Caenorhabditis elegans: one gene and its partners. The protein of the gene in region 3 interacts with the protein of the main gene of each other region in a pairwise test. Each region holds a gene or a part of one and is shown on either strand. Other genes may lie near its edges. The genes, in order: aspm-1, F42H10.3 and B0353.1.

What was found.
Region 1: the proteins of B0353.1 (region 3) and aspm-1 interact in a two-hybrid assay, tested with the Caenorhabditis elegans proteins (one large-scale study listed by BioGRID).
Region 2: the proteins of B0353.1 (region 3) and F42H10.3 interact in a two-hybrid assay, tested with the Caenorhabditis elegans proteins (one large-scale study listed by BioGRID).

What each region holds. Positions count from the first base shown.
Region 1 is NC_003279.8:9,221,242-9,228,480, forward strand, and holds aspm-1 (Calponin-homology (CH) domain-containing protein), read right to left. Parts: upstream 5,150-7,239; 5' UTR 5,143-5,149; coding exon 5,082-5,142; intron 5,031-5,081; coding exon 4,328-5,030; intron 4,264-4,327; coding exon 3,940-4,263; intron 3,836-3,939; coding exon 3,199-3,835; intron 3,153-3,198; coding exon 2,199-3,152; intron 1,840-2,198; coding exon 1,469-1,839; intron 1,421-1,468; coding exon 1,347-1,420; intron 1,203-1,346; coding exon 766-1,202; 3' UTR 509-765; downstream 1-508. Other genes in the region: lipt-1 (BPL/LPL catalytic domain-containing protein), read left to right, coding at 5,750-5,845, 5,895-6,131, 6,183-6,301, 6,351-6,551, 6,596-6,812; gip-2 (Gamma-tubulin interacting protein 2), read left to right, coding at 6,922-6,979, 7,027-7,169.
Region 2 is NC_003281.10:8,482,492-8,488,934, reverse strand, and holds F42H10.3 (LIM and SH3 domain protein F42H10.3), read right to left. Parts: upstream 4,783-6,443; 5' UTR 4,778-4,782; coding exon 4,608-4,777; intron 4,558-4,607; coding exon 4,473-4,557; intron 3,949-4,472; coding exon 3,856-3,948; intron 3,809-3,855; coding exon 3,712-3,808; intron 2,293-3,711; coding exon 2,194-2,292; intron 1,529-2,193; coding exon 1,415-1,528; intron 1,236-1,414; coding exon 1,042-1,235; intron 969-1,041; coding exon 813-968; 3' UTR 570-812; downstream 1-569. Other genes in the region: Splicing factor ESS-2, read left to right, coding at 116-479.
Region 3 is NC_003281.10:555,623-560,533, reverse strand, and holds the start of B0353.1 (ASD2 domain-containing protein), read right to left. Parts: upstream 3,017-4,911; 5' UTR 3,006-3,016; coding exon 2,898-3,005; intron 439-2,897; exon of another isoform or gene 388-438; coding exon of another isoform or gene 361-387; intron 1-360.

The DNA of each region.
Region 1 (7,239 bases), on a different chromosome or scaffold from region 3:
CGAGACCCATACGCGCCTTTAGAATTCAAAAACATGTGTTGCAAGAGAACATATACAAATCTATTCCTGTAGATGTCAGCCGCTTCAACTTTTTTTCCAGAGGAAAGCAAAATCTAGACAAAGTTATAATGAAAATCCTGTCTGGTAAGTTTTTTAAAATTACTACTTAAGTAGCTACTTTTGATTTTTTTTTGTTGTTGAAAAATCACCAACTTTTGGCCGGCACTGCATATAGCTGGAATTAATAAAAACTAATGAACAATATTTTAAAAATTCGGAAAAACGAGTACTACTTCTCTCAAACTTTCGAAAAAAACCATAAAAATTTTGAGTAGGCGGAGCAGGAGCCGAATGACGTGACAAAGTACAAAAAAGAGCAGAAAAAGATGGTCGGAGGGTTACTGTGTAATGCGAACGGAGAGTAAGACGAGTAACTATTTGCAAATCGGATGAGCCATCTGCTACGCAACAAGTGCAAAACTCAAAAATTTTAAAGAGGGAACAGAGAAAAATAGCAGACTTCTTGAATTTCTAAAAGTAGCTAAATTCATCATACTCTAAAAAAAACGGTAGTATTTAAAATCAAGTTTTTACTTCACAACAGACTTTAAGAAACAAATATGAAATACCAAAAAATCCAAATAAGCATCAGGTTGACTGATCTTATTGGTAAATATTCACATAAAAATAATTAAACCGTGTGTATTTTTTCACGATATGATACACAAAACGGTGGGATGAATTTAATATTTAACAGAGACTAATTTAGAGCATATCTTCGCATATGCTTTCCAATCTGACCAATTTATTCCGACACTCCTGATCCTTGACTTTTTTGAGCGACTGCTTGATTGAGTAGCTTGATGAAGAAAAACTCGATTGCTTTTTGTCTGGGAATCTTCTAGCAATTGAAGTCAAGGTGTTAATGATAGGAATAAACAATTCCTTGACTTCCGAGTGCTTCAGCATCAGTAGCATCAAGCGAGGCGACAAAATCTTCAAGTGAGGGAGAATATGCGAATTGGTGACTTCTTCGGGAATCTTCGTGAATAATTTTTCGAGAACATTCAATAATGGATGAAGAATGCTCGTATAAGAGAATCCTCGATCCGCCACAATCAAAACATCAGTGATCGACTTGATGCCATTCAGTTCGACGACAAGCTTTTCCAAAAGTGATGGAACAAGATCGGTGACTCGGTCTGCAAAATATGAACATTTCTATGTGTTGTATGGTTTTGCAATTGACGAAGAAAATCATCCATGGCGGCATATTCATAAACTTTTGGTTTCTATGACTTTCAGATCAAAAAGCAGCTTCTTCGTAATTTTCATTTGCGACATACCGATGACAGTTGCAGCAACATGAACGACGTGAAGGTTATCATTTGTGAGTCCATGAAGAGCGCATTTCTTTAGCCTGAAAATCAATTTTTTTAAATATATTTAAAAAAAAAAGAGTTCTCACTTTGCCTCGACTGATTTATCCTCCATTTCTTCTATACCAATTTGCTCGTCTTCTTGCGCCAATATGTGATTGTATTGGATCATGCGATTGCGAATATTGCTAATTTCCATTTGGAATTTACGCCGTGCAATGAAACCACGTATCATTTTCTGAATGACAACAGCTGCCTTCTTTTTATTCTCAAGAATTTGAGTCTCATCATTTTGCAATTGAGATTTCTGATCCAATTGCATTGAATTTTCGAAGAGTTGACTGTCGTCACCGTGAAGGATAGCAACATCGTGCCCAGCATCTGATCTACTGTCGGACGAATCCTCCCCGCCATCACGAACAGCTAACGCATTTCTCTCGATGTTTCCCAGTTTTCTCGCCTGAAACTTTTAACCATTTTTAACCAGGCCCTGACCACTTTTTAGAGATATCCGTTTTTACAGCTAATTTTACTGGTTTTTCTCGGATTTTTTTGTGCTTCCATTTGAGACGCCAGATGAGAAAAGAAAATCCATTCAAATTTTCCAGGAAAACGAATATCTCGGCGGGCCTTATCAGTCGCTTCTTTTATTGTTACAAAATTTTTAAAAAACCCATTAAAAAATTTAGAAAAATGTTCAATTTTTTACAGTTATATGTGGTCATTATGATCTGTTCTCTCATTTAAAGCAAAAAATGTTTCGTTTTTTGACTGTTGAGTCCACCATTAAATAATCTGTCAAACTTGATATAGACTCACAATTTCCTGTTGCTTTCTCTTGAGTTCTCTGGTTTGTCTCAAGATCCTTCTAAGTTCAGGAGTGTTGGCATCGTCCTCAATAGACACACTAAGGTTATTCGTCTTGACGAAGTTCTTCTGATCTTCTGATAATGACTGGAAAAGCATCTCTAAACGCTCCTGTTCTTCTGTCATTCTGAATTCAACCAATGGGCTTCCGCTTGTCTGCGTAGGATCCATAGGAGATTTTGAAGGTAGATCTTCTTGCGTCTTGCCCTCTTTGATTTCAAAAGTTTCTAAGTTCTCAATTTTCTGACCATCATAGCTTGCTTCATTGTTCCCTTCTAGTGCAACCGGAGAATCTGATGCTTCAAGAACTACGACGCCGACATCTTCAGCTTTAGGGACATGCATCTCTTTGCCAGTTTCAGAGTCTTGAAGAAATATGGCAGATTGGGAAGCGGAAGGAATAGAAGAAAGAGTTTCTAATGGGATGTCTGAAGGTGGACTATCCAAGTTCTCAGCGGAAGGAGCAACAGTGTCTTTGTCTTGGTTTTCATCATCTTCATCTTGTTCTCTGAATACTTCCGCATTGTGCTCCATTCTGACAACGGTTCTCTTTTTCAATGTACTTGGTACGACCGTTTCGTTATTTTCCGAATCATCCTCTTCCTCGATAACCATCGCAATTGTTTTTCTTGTGAATGTACCTCTCAGTGGAGTTTTCTGCATCTTGTTCATGCTTTCAATTGAATCACGTGAAACAGTAAACGTCGCATCGTTGAAGGTAGAATCCATTGATTGGCGAGACGATGGGATTTGTGATAGAGATGGTCTTTCAGTCAGAATATTATTCCGTGGAGTCCTCGGTACTGTGAAAGTGACATTATTAGAGAATGGAGAAACACTTCGGTTTCGAGGAATTGATGAGTCGGCAAGAAGTTGTTGTACAATGAAATACAGCTTGGGAGTATTCTGAAAGTGAATTATAATATAAATAACTTTATTTTTTGATGAATACCTTTCTTTGCACGTAGGCCTTCCACATTCGTTGAATCTTGGTCGCTTTCTCATTTAGATCTTGAATCATACCCAGTCGTTCCAGAAACATTTTTACGAAAAGAGCCATGTTCTGATCAAGTCCTCGCTGAATACAAAGCTCCAACTCGGCAACTGAAACAACTTTCTCCCACAGACTGAGTCCATCATAGTCCTGAATCGGTGTTGAATTTGTTCCGAAAGTGGTCCACAACTTGGCCAGAAGGCACCCATCGGAGAGTGAATCCAAGTCCATGACTTCGATTTCCATCTGTCTTCCGTAAATCTTGCACATTTTTAATACTTCAGAAGACATGTCATCGTGGACAGCAGATCGCCGCTTTTTCGGAGTTCTTTCTTCAGAAACTCTCGTCACCTTGATTCTTTGTTCCTTGGCCACACGAACTCCGATAATAGCCCACAAAATAGACAAAATCTCGTCTTTCTTTCCGCCAACGATTGATTCGGCGTTAACATTATCCGTTGGAACACCCAAAGAAGACATCTCCTGGAGTACAATCTTCACGTTTCCAATTTTGCGGATGCGGTCGCCTGCTGGATCACGTAACTTCAACAGAATTTGACCATGCGGCATCTCTCCGACAGTTTCCAACAGCTTTCTGAAAAATAGGTTATGATCGGTGGAAATAGGGACAGTGATAACATTTGTTGTTGAATGAGGAAAAGCTCGTGTAATTTATAAGAAATCTTTCTAGAAACTCACGCCAAAATTAGACCATCCGAGAAATCTGAAAATCCTTTCGCTTGGTAGTCGTAATTTTCAATGAATGATTGTCGGTAAGTCGGAATAAAACCGACTTTTGCAAACGCTTTTTTGAAAGTAGCAGAGCTTCCAGTCAACAATTCCTTCGTCAGTTCGGAGAACACATCGTCGAGACAATTGAAATGAGAGGACTTCGTGAAGATTCTCGTCAGATTCGGGATAACTCGATGAGTGTGTGCCGTTTCAATCAAGAACATCAGCTTCATCGAGACGGACAGAAAATGCTTGTGTAGAGCTTCTTTGCCAGCCTCAGTGATGATCGGTCTGCAAAAATTTGATTAGGCATAATTTTAACGAACTCGTTCATCCTCTGAAATCAGCAACTTACTTTCCAGAACCTTGTGCAAATTTCTTGTTCTTTAGCATCGTCGGATTTGAGAAAACTAGATCGAGGAAAAACTGAGAAAGTTTTTTCATTAAATGCTTCGGTTGAGCGTCAATTCTCGTGTTAAAGATTGCTTCAAGAGCAGTTTTCAGCCAAGCAGGATGGAATGATAGAAATGTGTGAAGAAGAGTTGTTTGGAGGCCTATGTCATTATATACGGCATGTTCTTTTCGGATTGCGACGTTGTTTTTGGACAGAAGATCCTTGATGCTTGCATCCATTCCTGAATCGTCTAGAAGCTGCTTGCACTTTTTCTTCACAACTTCTGGATCATTTTTCTCAAAAATCCGTTGATATCTCCTGCGTGCATTTTCCTGTGTATTTTCCACTTCTGACGTATCTGATCTTTTCTTCAACATTTTTTGGATATTTCTGCAGGCTTCTGCTTTCGACTCTCCTAGATCCATCTCTTCAGACACATCCAATTCCATCATTGTGTTGCACCACGTGGCGAGTGCAATAATTTGCTTGTTGGCTTTCTCATCATATGATAGAATCGGGGAATCTGATACAGAAGAGCTGATTGAAGGATTGAGAGGAGTTCGCATATTCATTGAAGTCGGACTCGACTCCAAAAAGGCTCGCTCGGTTGCTCTCAAATCGATCTTCTTTGTGTTCGATTTGACTTGATCAAGAAGGCGTTTCTCTGAAAGAGGAAGAAAATAAATAATGAGATAAAGTATAAATATCTTGTTACCGTGTCGATTTGCTAATCGTTTGAGCATTGCCTCTTTTTTATCCTCAACGTTATTATCCATTTTGATTCTGAAAAATACAAAAAATAAAGACGAATAAATCAGGAAGGAAGACACAGCGATATTAGTTTCAATGCCGAGTCCAAAACGCGAAAAAGTCCCGATGTTGTTAGTTTTTTGTCAGTTTTCAGTGCAATTGTCGAACAAAGAAGACAATTTGGGGACTTTTACGCGTTTTGGACGCGGTACAAATGGCCACCTAAAACGGAGGAAAAAAACGTTTTGGGGATAAATCCGGAATTCGCGCCGCGTTCAGGTTGGGTACTGTAATCGTGATAAGACCATTTCTTTGAACTAAGAAGTGTGCCTTTAAACTGCTACTGTGCATTTTTATAATTCACACAAAAATTATATTTTAAAAAAGATTTTAAGGTGACGATTTTATAGTAGAAAAGCGTTAAACAGTTTTCAGGTAGCTTTCGGAAATTTAGATCAAACAAAAATCAATGAAAAAAAAGTAAAATTTATGTTTTGAACGCTCGCGCCACAATGTCATAAATGGAGCGCAATTACTGAATGTCTGCGTCTCCTTAATGCTAGCAATCTCTTCTTCTCAAATCTTGCAAATAAACAGTTTTCTTACCTTTTCCTAATTTATTTTTCTTGTTAAATGTGTTCTATATCACGCGGAAAATTGTCCACAGTTCTGAAATCCACGTCAAGCTGCATTTTCGAAAATCTTGCGTATGAGGAGCATATTTTCAGGGTCAGTTCAGCAGTAATTTCAGTGCCTTTGCTATAGTTTTTGATTTCAGACTCACAATGTCGCTCAAAACGGGGAAATCCTGCTCATGTGGAGTAATCGACCGGCTGTAGTCATCGGAAGACATCAAAATCCGTGGATTGAAGTCAACATACCATATGCTAACAAAAATAATATTCAAATTGTCCGAAGGCACAGTGGAGGAGGCACTGTTTATCATGATCTAGGAAATCTGAATATTTCACTTTTAACAACACACGCACAACACTGTCGGCCAAAAAACTTGAAGGTATTAATATCATTTTTCAAAATAATAAAAATATCATTTTATTATTTCCAGTTCATTTCGGATGCTCTAAATCAACAATTTTCTGTTAAAATCGTTCCAAACAAGCGTGATGACATGGAACTACATCCAGGAGAACGGAAATGCTCAGGAACAGCTGCAAGAATTGCGCGGTATTTTTAAAAAAAATATTTTAAACACTTGTTATGTGAATAATTTAAGAGGTCAAGCCTATCACCATCTAACACTCCTCGTCGGTGCGGATCTTCAAGTATTATCAAAATCTTTGAAATCTCCATGGAGAGATAAAATCGAATCAAATGCTACAAGAAGCGTAAGAGCTCCGGCTGTTGGATTTCTGAAACAAGATGATGCCAATGCAAATGTCGAACAATCAAAATTAGCCATTGTTGAAGCTTATAGGTGAACGGAGCAACTAAAAACTTCCAATCATTAAAAAATTTCAGAAAACTGTTCGAAGAATCACATATAAAAACTGTGAATGTTGCAGAGGAAGTGAAGAAAAATGCAGAAATATCGAAAATCTTTGATGAGTTGAAAGCCTGGAAATGGATTTATGGAAAAAGCCCGAAATTTCAATATTCCCGCGAAAATAAGTCCATAATTGAAGTGAAAGATGGACTCGTGTTAGACACAAATCAACAATTCTCGCCGGATCTTTAGTCATTTCTTTTTATTTTAATTATTTTCTAGTCGTTATTTGATTTTCCGTGTATTTTCCCTTGTTCTCTTGCTCACAGTAATTCCGTTTAAGTAAAATTTAAATTTTTAGATGATGCGAACTGCTCACAAGGATAGAGAGCCGTGGAGGGATATTCGCCGTAGTTTGTGTAAGATTTGAAAAAGCAAAGTTTTTTGTTAATTTCGTATCTTTTAGTGAGCAAATGGCAAGGAGTACGTGTCTGTGATGAACCATCACCATGGTATATGTCCATTCCAACACCATTCAGTCAATTCCATAATGTTTTACCAGAAGAACAAGAGGAAATGGTTTTCACTGAGCTCAAGCTATTTCTAGTCGTAAGTTGGATTTTAAATATACTGTCGGAACAAAACAAGTAACCAGTTAATTTTGCAAGGTCTGGTTTTG
Region 2 (6,443 bases), 7.9 Mb from region 3:
TTTCATTTTTCAATTAAAAATTGTTTATTTTTTCAAGTTATAAAATATATTTCTCTATGGTATTAAAATCTATAACGAGATAATAGTACTTCAAATAATTTTCAACTTGGTAAAGTTTCAGCCGAACACCTGGATTTGGATCCAAGCGAGTCTCAGACAAGCTTGCACAATTATCTCCTGCTGCTCAAAAGTTGGCAACCAAGAAGCTTGGATTAAAAATGTTACCTGCTCACAAATCTCCTTTCGCCTCGCCGAAAATCATGTCGAATTGGTCAAGACCGTCAAGTTCAAAGCGATCCACAACTCCTGGTTCTGCATGGAGTCGTGGTTCTACTACACCTGGATCATCTTGGAGCCAAGGAGCACAAACTCCTGGCACACCTGGGATTGAATCTATGATCCGAAGAAAAGGGGATAACGTCGGACCTTCAACATCAGCCGGAGCTGCAGATAGAGCAAATGCTGGAGACTTTTTCTAATATTATAAGATTAGTATAATTTAGATCTGTATATTTTGTTCTCATGTGCCTTATAGACACGGTTTATTATTTATGACAATGGCCTAATAATTGATAGTAAATTCATTTATTATAATTTTTAATTTTTAAATTTCAGCACCATATAACATTTTAGAAGATTGAAAAACAAATGGAGAAAAGGCATTCAGAAGGTGAACAGAACCCGTTTGTGGGATTTTCAGAAAGTTGAAAAAATAACTGCAGAAGCCTGAAGCATAATTGAAGCATTTAGGGGAAATGTGTGAGCAAGAGCAGGTCATGGAGAGATAGAAAATGTGCGTGGGTTTGGAAATATTAAGAAAGTCGGTGCAATCCGGTAGGAAGTTTATGTGGTTGAACATAATTTGCAGGTAGCATTCCCCATTGAAGAGTTCGTTGAACTGTTCCTGTCATCCATCCATCATCAATTTTCTCGCAGTTCACGATGATATCACCTTCGAGGAATGAAATCTGGAATCAAATATTTTAGATGGTTGAATAAATTTTCATCGTGAAACTGGTTGAAAACCTAATTTAAATTTACCTCGTCTTTATCAGCAGCAGCGTAATCATAAATTGCCTTAACTGCAAATCCAGCTTTTCCAGTCGGTGAAATTGTGCTTTGTGGAGAAGAAAGTGTTGAATGTGGAGATGTTGAAGATATACTATTTGATGATGGAGGTGGAGCTCCTGCAAAATCCGCACAAAATCTTGCCGGACCTTTATCCACTTGAGCCTCTGCAACAAGCGGTTAGTTTCAATTAATGACAGATCAAAATTATTCAAAATGAGCTTTTTAAAAGATTATTTCTTCCACAAAACGAATTAATAAGTACCAAAACGTGCAAAAAATTTGTGTGGATTACAAATGAGCAAATCATTCAAACAAAAGCCAAAAAAAAAAACAAAATCCTTACTCAAATATCCAAGTTTCTCGGAATTTCTCGGTTGAGCAGCAGCTGTACCCCATTGTCCGTTCATTGGATCATAGTCAGCAATACTTCCGATTGATTTTTGTGGTGTTGGAGATACTGAAAGCGAAGAAAAATAACAATGCACAACACAAAAGCTTTTAGAAAATTACACATGAAGCACAACGAAAAATTTGGACTTTATATAACTAGATACCATAAATTAGACAAGGCTTAGGCTTGGCGTCAGTGGGGGAGCGTTAGCTCCCCCACTGACGCGCGATAAAAGTGGCTATTTAGGCTGAAGCCGCGCCATACCGCCGGTGTGTCATAAGGATTTCCAATATTTTATTCCAGTTGGGCATCCTAGTATGTTTTTCGGCCCTTTAGGCTTAAGTGTGTCATAAGGATTTCCAATATTTTATTCCAGTTGGGCATCCTAGTTTTTTTTCGGGCCCTTAGGCTTAAGTGTGTCATAAGGATTTCCTATATTTTATTCCAGTTGGGCACCCTAAGTCTAAATAGCTCTTTTTCTTTTCTTTTGCGCTCCAAGCGCAAGGAAAAACCTTATTGTAACTTTTTAAGAGGTTAGGCTTAGGCTTAGGCTTAGACTTAGGCTAGGCTTAGACTGAGACCTAGCATTATCTTAATTTTTGGTCAAATAATGTATCCGTACAAAAATCAGCAACAAAATCAGCAATAACTTTTATAGGCATTCAATCAGTTTTTCAATACACAAGGTGCTCTTTTTGGATGCTCATTAATCAATTCAATTGCTAACTAACCTGCTCCACCTTGCTCTGTTGAGTAGATCAAATGCGTATTTGCGGCTACTGCTTGTGTTGGAGCCGAATATGATTGATGGTTCATTGGAGAGATTGGAGCTGCAATAAATGGTTAGTGGAAAAAAAAAGTGAGTTGAAAAATGGAGAAGATTGATTTGTTGGAAATAATTCTTTAATTAAATGTATTCTTTATTGAAAAAATCAGTTTGTCATGGTTAATGTAGGATTTGAATAGATAGAAAAATAATAGTCATGATCAGAAATCGAACTGAAAGGAAAATTAAGCTTTAACAGTTTTGGCTGGCCCTTTCTTAAAAGTCGATTTGACTGCTTTCGGCTTTTGGTCAATAACTGGGACGGATGGAGCTGGAGTGGGCTCAGTGGGTTGTGGTGGAACAACAACACCTGAAGGTGTATTTTGTATGAAACAAATGAAGAGATTTGAGAAATAAGTGAACATTAGGACATTGATATGACACGAAAAGAAGTTGAAAATTAAAGTTCAATCTAAAAAGTATTTTCACTCAAAGCCATTTTGGAAAGTTTTCTATAATTCTATATACTAACTGAATGAAGAATTCAGCTTTCTAGAAACAACACTGCAAGTTTGCTTTTTCAATTGTAGAACATCTAAGATATTCTTCTTTAAAAACAGTGTTATTTTTTTAGAAGAAAACTCTGTTATCTGTTTGGCCTAAAAAAGTATGTACCTGGCTGAAAAGTTGGCAAAGTTTAGTCCAAATCTGGACAAAACTTAAGTTTAGATTAACCTAATCCTGATAAAAATATTTGATTCAAAATTTGTCATGTCAAATTTGGCTATATATATTGTTAGACCAATTTTGGACTGAATATTGGCGCGACCTAGAGCAACAACCAAGTTAATACTTTTGCCAAAATTTGGCAAGAACTTGTCCCACATAGTTTTTACAATTTTCAATAAGCGAGAGTCTTTAGTAATTTTCTTTCAGCTTTGAGCAAGAACACTTTAAGATTGATTATAAATATCTGCTCTAGAATTATGGCTAGCTGAAAAAAGCAAAGATGAGGTAGAAGAAAACAAACAAAACGTATCTAATCTAGATATCGATATACCATATTTCCCCTCAAAATGTGCCAAAAGTGTACAAAATGTTTCCAGTACAGTTTCAGAGAATATGGTAAATATGAAAAAAGAAACATTGAAAACTAATTCTAAAAAAAAAGCGAATTCTATCTAGGATATACAATCACCGGAATTTGCCAATAATCATCGTCTTCTTCTTCCTCATCAACTTCTTTTTCTTCATACTTCTCTTCAGTTTCTTGAACCATTGCCACTCCAATTCCATACACAACTCCTCCATTTCCAGTGACCAGTTGATAAACTGGCAGTAAAAAGCGATACAAAAACAATAAGAGAAAAGTGAGGAAAATTGAAAAAAGAATTAAAAGTTTTTCCCGTGCAAGACTTTTGACATAACTTGGACGATACAATTCTCAAGTCCATGGGGACAACAAAATGGAAGAACAACTTACTTGGAGTTGGGTTTGGTGAGATTTCCTCTTTTGGACGGACTTCTTCTTGACGAGCTTTTTGGTCGAGAACTCCGTGATAGGAAACATTTGATTGAACCTTAAAATAGCATTATTCTATTCTATCTTTAAAAATTTATTTCCAACCTGAGTATTTTTCTTCAGTCTTTCCATCTCTGGATCATCAGCAATTTCGATCTTTGTTCCCTTCATTTTCTCGTATTCGGCGTGGTATTTGATCTAAAATTTCAGATTATGAAAATTTGAAAATCAGTTATAGGAAGTAGCAGGTTTTATTGAATAAAACTAGCTATTTTGTTTATAGTTTTTTTTGTGTTTTTTCGAAATTTTGGAAACTCGAAGAATTTGAAAATTTCGTATATTTTATAAACTCAAATTTGAGTTAATTTTTACATTTTTAGTATGGAAAATTCTCATTATATACTAAGATGAACATTATATTAGAACTCTTCAAGAAAACTTGATTTACAGTAGTTTCCGTGGCGAGATCCTTTTTTTGAGAATCCATAATTTGACACCACTACAAATTTTTTAAGTGCCGAATTCGACAAAATTTATTTGTGTAGATTTTATAATATTTTTGATTTTGATTTTACAAATATTTTACAGATATTTTTTGGAAGAATTTTAAAAACTCTTTACAATTTTTGGGATAACATTCTCAAATGTTATATTTTTTAATTATAAATGAGATTTATGGGGAGACGATTTATTTTTTCTCTAAATTTTTTGCAAAAACTTACGTTACTCTGATTTTTAGTATTCTCTGCGATTCTTCTCATTTCTGGAGTATCCGCCATCACTGAAGCCACGGTTTTTGGATAATGTCTGAAAATAGTTGAAAATTTAGAAATTGAAATATTCTCATAAAAACTAACGGATCACAATACGGTCTCTTGTCGTATCCCTTATAGTTTTTCATATTCAATGTCATTCCGCAAACAGTGCATTTGAAGCATTGCTTGTGCCAAACTTTATCAAGACATTTCAGTTCCTCAACTGGATATACCGTCTTCCCGCAATCTTCGCGAGCACACTTTTTGCTCATTTTCTGGAAATAAAAACTGTAGAATATGAAGATTGAAGATATTTGAATAAACTAGAAAAAAATACAAATAGAAATCATAATAATGTTTTTGTAAATTGGCAAAAATTGGTAAAATTCATAAGAGTTTTGAGAATTGTCACATATTTTTACCCTATCAGAATAAAAACATATATTTTTGGGTTTATAAAATTATGTGTGGTAAAATTAAAAGTTGCCAGTTTAAATAAATCAAATTTGGGTTTTTCGGAAAATTTTAATATTAAATCTGTCAATTTGAGGTATTATCTTTGCTGAACCTTAATCTTTATAATTCTAACTTTTAAGACAAAACAAAATTTTTTTTTAATTTATAATTTGGAAATACTTTCCAAATTCTATGCTTTTTGGAAAGTTTCACCCTTGGACGGGAACGAAAGTTGTATGGCATAAATGATAGATAAGGCGAAACAAAGAAACATAGACAGATAGAGTAAATAAATTGAATGGTTAGGTTAGGTTGGATGTAGAATGGTAGGAAAATGACGGATAGACAAAAAAATGTATGAGTAAAAGTAAACGAGGCGAGAAACGAACGAGGGATGAAATGGGCGGATAGGGTGATTGTACAAAGATTTCGGGTAAAAAATTGAGAAATAGCGGGAAAGAAGAATGTGTTATTTATTCATGGAGCCCCCTTCTTCACTCCCCGACAAGACACTACACACAACTCTCACACATTTATGTTTGTGCTCATTTTGACTTTCCATACTCACATTGTTATCACACATATCAGTGAAATCAGGGAACTTGGTTTGTTTTGGCAAACGATTAAGTTGCGGTAAACGTATTGTTGGTTTGGGAAGAAAATGAAAAATGTATTATAATATATGAACAAAAGTGTAGTGGAGGCGATATGAATAATATAATAATATTTAATAATATATATATATATATATATATATATATATATATAATATTTCCCGAAAATTTAAATGTCCTCCATTTCTTTTTTTGCGATTTTCGGAGCCCAACTATAGTTTTTGCTTCAATTAATATTCAATTTTACAGAGAACCGGAAAAATTATTTTGATTTGAAGGAGTTTTTGTTTTAAATGTTCGGTAAATTACGAAATAATACTTTTATAATGAGTCCAAATTTCAAAAAAATGAGCAGGCATCTGTCCATTTTTGAAAGTAGTTCAAAAGGATTGTAGATGACCTCTCAAGAAACTATTAAAAAAGAAGAAGACGAAGCAAAGGGTACTAGTCTATTGAGAAGCTCATTTTCGAAAAAGTAGTTTTGAGTTTAAAATAGCTCCCTCCACATAAGAAAGATACGGGTCGCATCCTCGGAGCCGGCGGCGAAGAGAAGATGGGGAAGCGGTGTAAAGTGAAAAGTGAACACTTGGAAGAAGCCGTGCATACAACATGTTGATGATGCATCATCATTTTGTATGAAATTTCAAACGTTTTTTTTTTATATTGAAACCCAATTTGGAAAAAAAATGTATTGAAGCTGAACGGAATTCGAAAAATGTGCAAAAAACGACGTTGAAAAACTTTTGTAAGTTTTGTTTAAAATTGTTTGTAAATTTTTCTAGGCAATTTGAATAAACCGCAGGCTTAGGCACCAGAAAAGAGACATATTTACCCAAGAACACATGATTTTGGTTTTTTGCAATCCTTG
Region 3 (4,911 bases):
TCTCTGCGCCTCTATACTTTTTTTCTGTCCTTTTGTTCCGTCGTGCCGCTCAGATGTTCAAGTGGTATCGGGAATGAATATGTGCAGGAAAAATAATCGATACTAGATAATTTTTGGGATTTTGAAAAATTGGATCTTATGAGAAAAATGTTGAAAGTTCCTTCGAAATGTTCAGAAAACTTTTAAAAAAAGGTTTAAGACTTTTTAAAATGTTTTTTTTAATTAAAAAAGTGCAAAAAAATTGTTTCTTGTTTATCCAGATTACCAGTGAATATTATAAATTATATCTAATAGTATATCTAGATAAAATCTAGATACAGTTACAATCTTGACCCCACCAAAAAGTACGTATCTTCTTACCTTTAGTGGTGGCACTCCACTCATCATTTTTTGGAAGAAGAAAAAGTATTTGATATAATGGGTCTCTGGAAATTTTCTATAATGAAATTTAAGAAAAGAGCAACAAGAAAAGGTAAATCTAAAAAAAATTCAAGAAAAGAGCAGTTTTAGACGAAACTTTCGAAATAACTGCTAAAATGTACTGGAGGCGGAAAAATGATGGCGGAAGAAACTTATTGATAAAATTGGGAGAGAGGGAAAGAATTTGAATGAGTCATTGGAATTCCATACATTGGATAACAAAAAATATTGGTTTGTATTTTACAAAAACTTGCAAAAGTATTTACTGAAAAAAAAAGTTTTTCGAAAAACCGGTCGTTTGCTCTTTTTCTTGAAATTTTCCAAAATTTAGAACTGTTTGAAAAATTGCTTAAACGAAAAATGGCATAGAAAATTGGAATTTTGAAACAAAAACTATTTTAAGAAATTGTGTTGTCCGATTGTCTCATTTCGGTTTGATCTACGTAGATCTACAAAAAATGCGGGAATTGAGGCGCAGAGTTCTCAACTGATTTCGCGTGGTTAAGAACGTGCTGCTGCTGACACATTTTTTGAGCAAAAGATTCCCGCATTTTTTGTAGACCAAACCGTGATGGGACAGGCTTTCACAACGTGTCAAAACCAAATTTAAATTAGCATTCCTCTGTTATTAGGTGAGGTAGCAAAGTTTTTGCAAATTTTGTAAGCTCTAATTTTTTAGTTGAAAACTTGTACAAATGAAGAAACTGTAAGAACCCGAAAATCAAAAGTCCTAGCAAAAAGTTGTCAACTAATAAAATATGGAAAGTTATGCAAGTTTGAATTTGTTTCGAATGTTCATAAGTTAGAGAAATTTGACATCCAAAATCGCTCTTTTCATTTGAGTGCCAAAATTGTCTAATATTTCAACAAGAGAAAAAGAGATTCAGAGTCGAAAATAAAAGGGAACAGTGCCCTTCTATAGTACCCCTCACACACATACAAATATACACGCGCCGGCGAAATTTGTTTATGTACATTAAAAGGTAAGAAGATACGATTCCACGAGAGAGAGAAAGTAATACAGACTCAATGAGAGACGGCAGAGAAAACGAGGAAAGAGTACAGGGTGTCACCAACGTCCGCCAATCTCCCGCCAAGAAGAGGTACAGGTGACGAGTGAGAAGAGCGTGTGAGGAGTTGAGAGACGCCAGGCAGACAATGGAATGTTCGGGTGATACGCAGACAAACAGACAGATGTATTTATGCAACATTTATGCAAAGGTCATACAGTTACAAGAGCAGTACAGGTGGTGAAATTTGAGTTTATCAGGTTTAGAGAGCATTTTTTGGATGTCGATTTCATTTCAACATTTCCCTTCAAGTACTGAAGAGCAGTTTTCTATTTCAATTTTACTAAAGTTGACCTTTTTTGCAGATCTTACAGTTCGCTAATTTTTGATACTTTTTCTAAATATTTTCATACGTTTGAAAAATACACTTTTAGAAATTGACAACACCGAATGCTCTTTGTCCTATAAAATATAGGAGCTATCGCTACACTGTCCAATAAATTTCTGAAAAACGTCAAATCGGCAATAGGCCAAAATGAAAATTTCTGGCAAATTGACAAACCAGCGAATTGCCGGAATTGAACATTTCCGACAAATCAGCAAACCGGCACTTTGCCGATTTGCCGGATTTGCCGAACGGCAATTTTTGTCTGCTTTGGATGTTACTGGACCCTATTTTCAAACATAACTTACGAAATAACCAAATTTAAATTGAAAAACAAAAAACAATTTTATACGTAGATTCCCAAAATTTCAATATTAAAAATGAGTTTATTCACTAAAATTAGCATACTCTTAGAAATTGGAGCCATTTCGGAACACCTGCGCGTGGTTGTAACAAGACGGCCGAGAGCCTGAGAGGAAAGAGCACAACAATACATAGACTCTTAGGAGATGGGGGAGGAAAAGAGCAACAATAATATGAGCATAAACACATTATAATACCCTGCCGCCAGCTGGTAAACAGACTTTGGAAAATGGGTAAGGGCCTGAAATTTTCGGAAAAAGTCAACTGGCATAGTGAAAGCAATTTTTTGTACAGTATTTTGTCAATTGACAAATTTTCATATCTTCTAAAGTATCTGTATGTAGAGAGCGTGCATTTACGAAGTGTGGATTTACGGAGACACATGTCGCTTTACCTATTAATAAGTCCTTGTAGATTTACGGAAGCTACTCAATTTTTGGCAATTTTTTATTTTTCTACAGTATTTTAGTTTTACAATTTTTGGCAATTTTTTATTTTTCTACAGTATTTTCGTTTTAACTCTCTGAAAACAAAACAAAAAAACAATTTTTAATTAATTTTTTCCATATTTTTTTAAAAATAGAAACCTTTTTTCAAACAGCCACAATTTTCTTGAAACTGAATATATCAAAATTTTGTCAACTATATGAAATTTACCCAAAATTTCTCCCTAATATTTTCCCAGCTAATAAATTTCATGTATCTCTACAGTACCCCACCTCATAAGCCTCACTGATCCGTCTCCTGTTGATTCCATTGATTCTCCAACACCGTACAGTAACGTCTAGCAGTGAATCAAAACAGAATATTTTTGTTTCTTTTTCCATGTTTCAATTTTCAATTTTCCTGTGTCAGGGGTTTTATATTAAACTAGGCCCCGCCCTTTTCGCAAAAAAAACAATCAAAAAAGCCAAAAAAAAAAAAACAACAAAAGAACTGTTTTTGACGCGCCGAAATTGGAAATTTTTTAAAGTAAAAAACTTTTTAAAGTTTATTGTATTATACATTAACAAGGTTCCATGTAGATTTACTAGAATTTCACGTAGCTTGAGTACATTTACGGGGGCTATTGTAGATTTACGGAAAGTAGTGTAAGATCAAAACAAAAATCTAATGTCGATTTACGATCATTAAAAAAGATTTACGAAAGGTTACCGTATATTCTCTATTAGTGCTGCATGTCGCACTAATTTTCAGGTCCTTTTTGAATGCAACACTATTAGAGACTGCAGTACTGATAGAGAATTTACGGTATGTGGATTCAGAAGTGTCCATGTGGATTTACGGTAATTCATGTATATTTACAAAGACTAGCGTAGATTTACGAAAACTGTTGTAGATTTACGAAGATTAGGTGTTTTCAATTTACAACTACAGTGACTAGGAAAAAGCTGAATACTTATCAAAAAATATTTTAAAAAAAGATCTAGAAAACTGGAGAAATCACACAAAAGGAAGCAGTTCCGTGTCAGTGTTAGAAGAAAACACTCATCAAAAGGCACAAAGCAGTATGTAAAAGGAGAAAATGACATGGAGATGGTCACATAGACACTTGTAGTAGACATTGACCTTGTCTTCTTCTCCTTGAAGTGACGGAGGAATGGACGAAAAAGTGGATGGAAACAGAGGATTCTGTATGTAATTAGTTTTACCATATTTGGATGGGATGCGATGGAAATTGGAGGAACGATCGTGTGAAGAGGTGAGAAAACCCGAAAAGTGGATTGAAAACTGTTCTGAGAAATTGATTTACCGAAGCTCTGGTAGATTTACGGAGATTCTTATAGACTAGAAATTATTTTTGTAGATTTACAAAGGTTCTTGTCGATTAAGTGTAGTTTTCGTCAATTTTTGAAGGATTTTGTAGGTTTAAGGGAGCTGGTGTGGATTTACAAAAACTTTAGTAAGTTCACGGAAACTTTTTGAAGATGCCGGAAGTTTATGTGGATTTATGGGAGTTTGTGTCGATTTACGCGAGCTTGTGTCGATTTACGGAATAATATTTTATGTAAATTTGAAGAAATGTTTGTAGAATTACAAAAACGCATTTCTATGTTCTTTTTTTGCAGAGGCCTTTGTAGATTTACGGCAGCTCGTTTTGATTTACAGCGGCTGGTACAAAAAAAATTACAAAAAAAAGTTTGTGTAGAAATACAAGTTTTTTTTTCTCAGGCTTTAAGGATAATTTTTTGGAATGTCAAAATAAATCTTATATATTTACACAGACTAGTGTGGATTTACGGGGATTTTTGCAACACATCCAAACTCGTAAATTTATGTTGAAAATTCAAAATGTAATAAATCTTTTAAAAAAAAACTAACCTGAATAAGCATATTGTAGTACCGATGGCTGGCGTCTCGATTGCTTTTTGCAGATCTCAAGGTGTCCACGTCGTAGTCCATTCCCTGGAAAATTAAAATTGGGAAAAGGTGCATTTTTTGATTTCATGAAAATGAAAACTCAAAAAATTCAGAAAAAAAGGAAAAGCAGTAAATATAAAGCAAAGAAGAGTGATAGGAAAAGGGGGAAAACGAAATGAGTCAGAATTCATTCTGAATCGGGAGAAAACTGAAATGAAAACGGTTCTTTTTCGTTTTTTGCACGAAATTTCTGCAGAAAAATTGTATAGAGTAACTACTTTGAAACAGAGGAAAATTGATTTAAACAATAGGATGCCGAAAATGTGACCAGAAGCTTGTGTGAATTTACGGATACTCTCAAAAAACCTATGT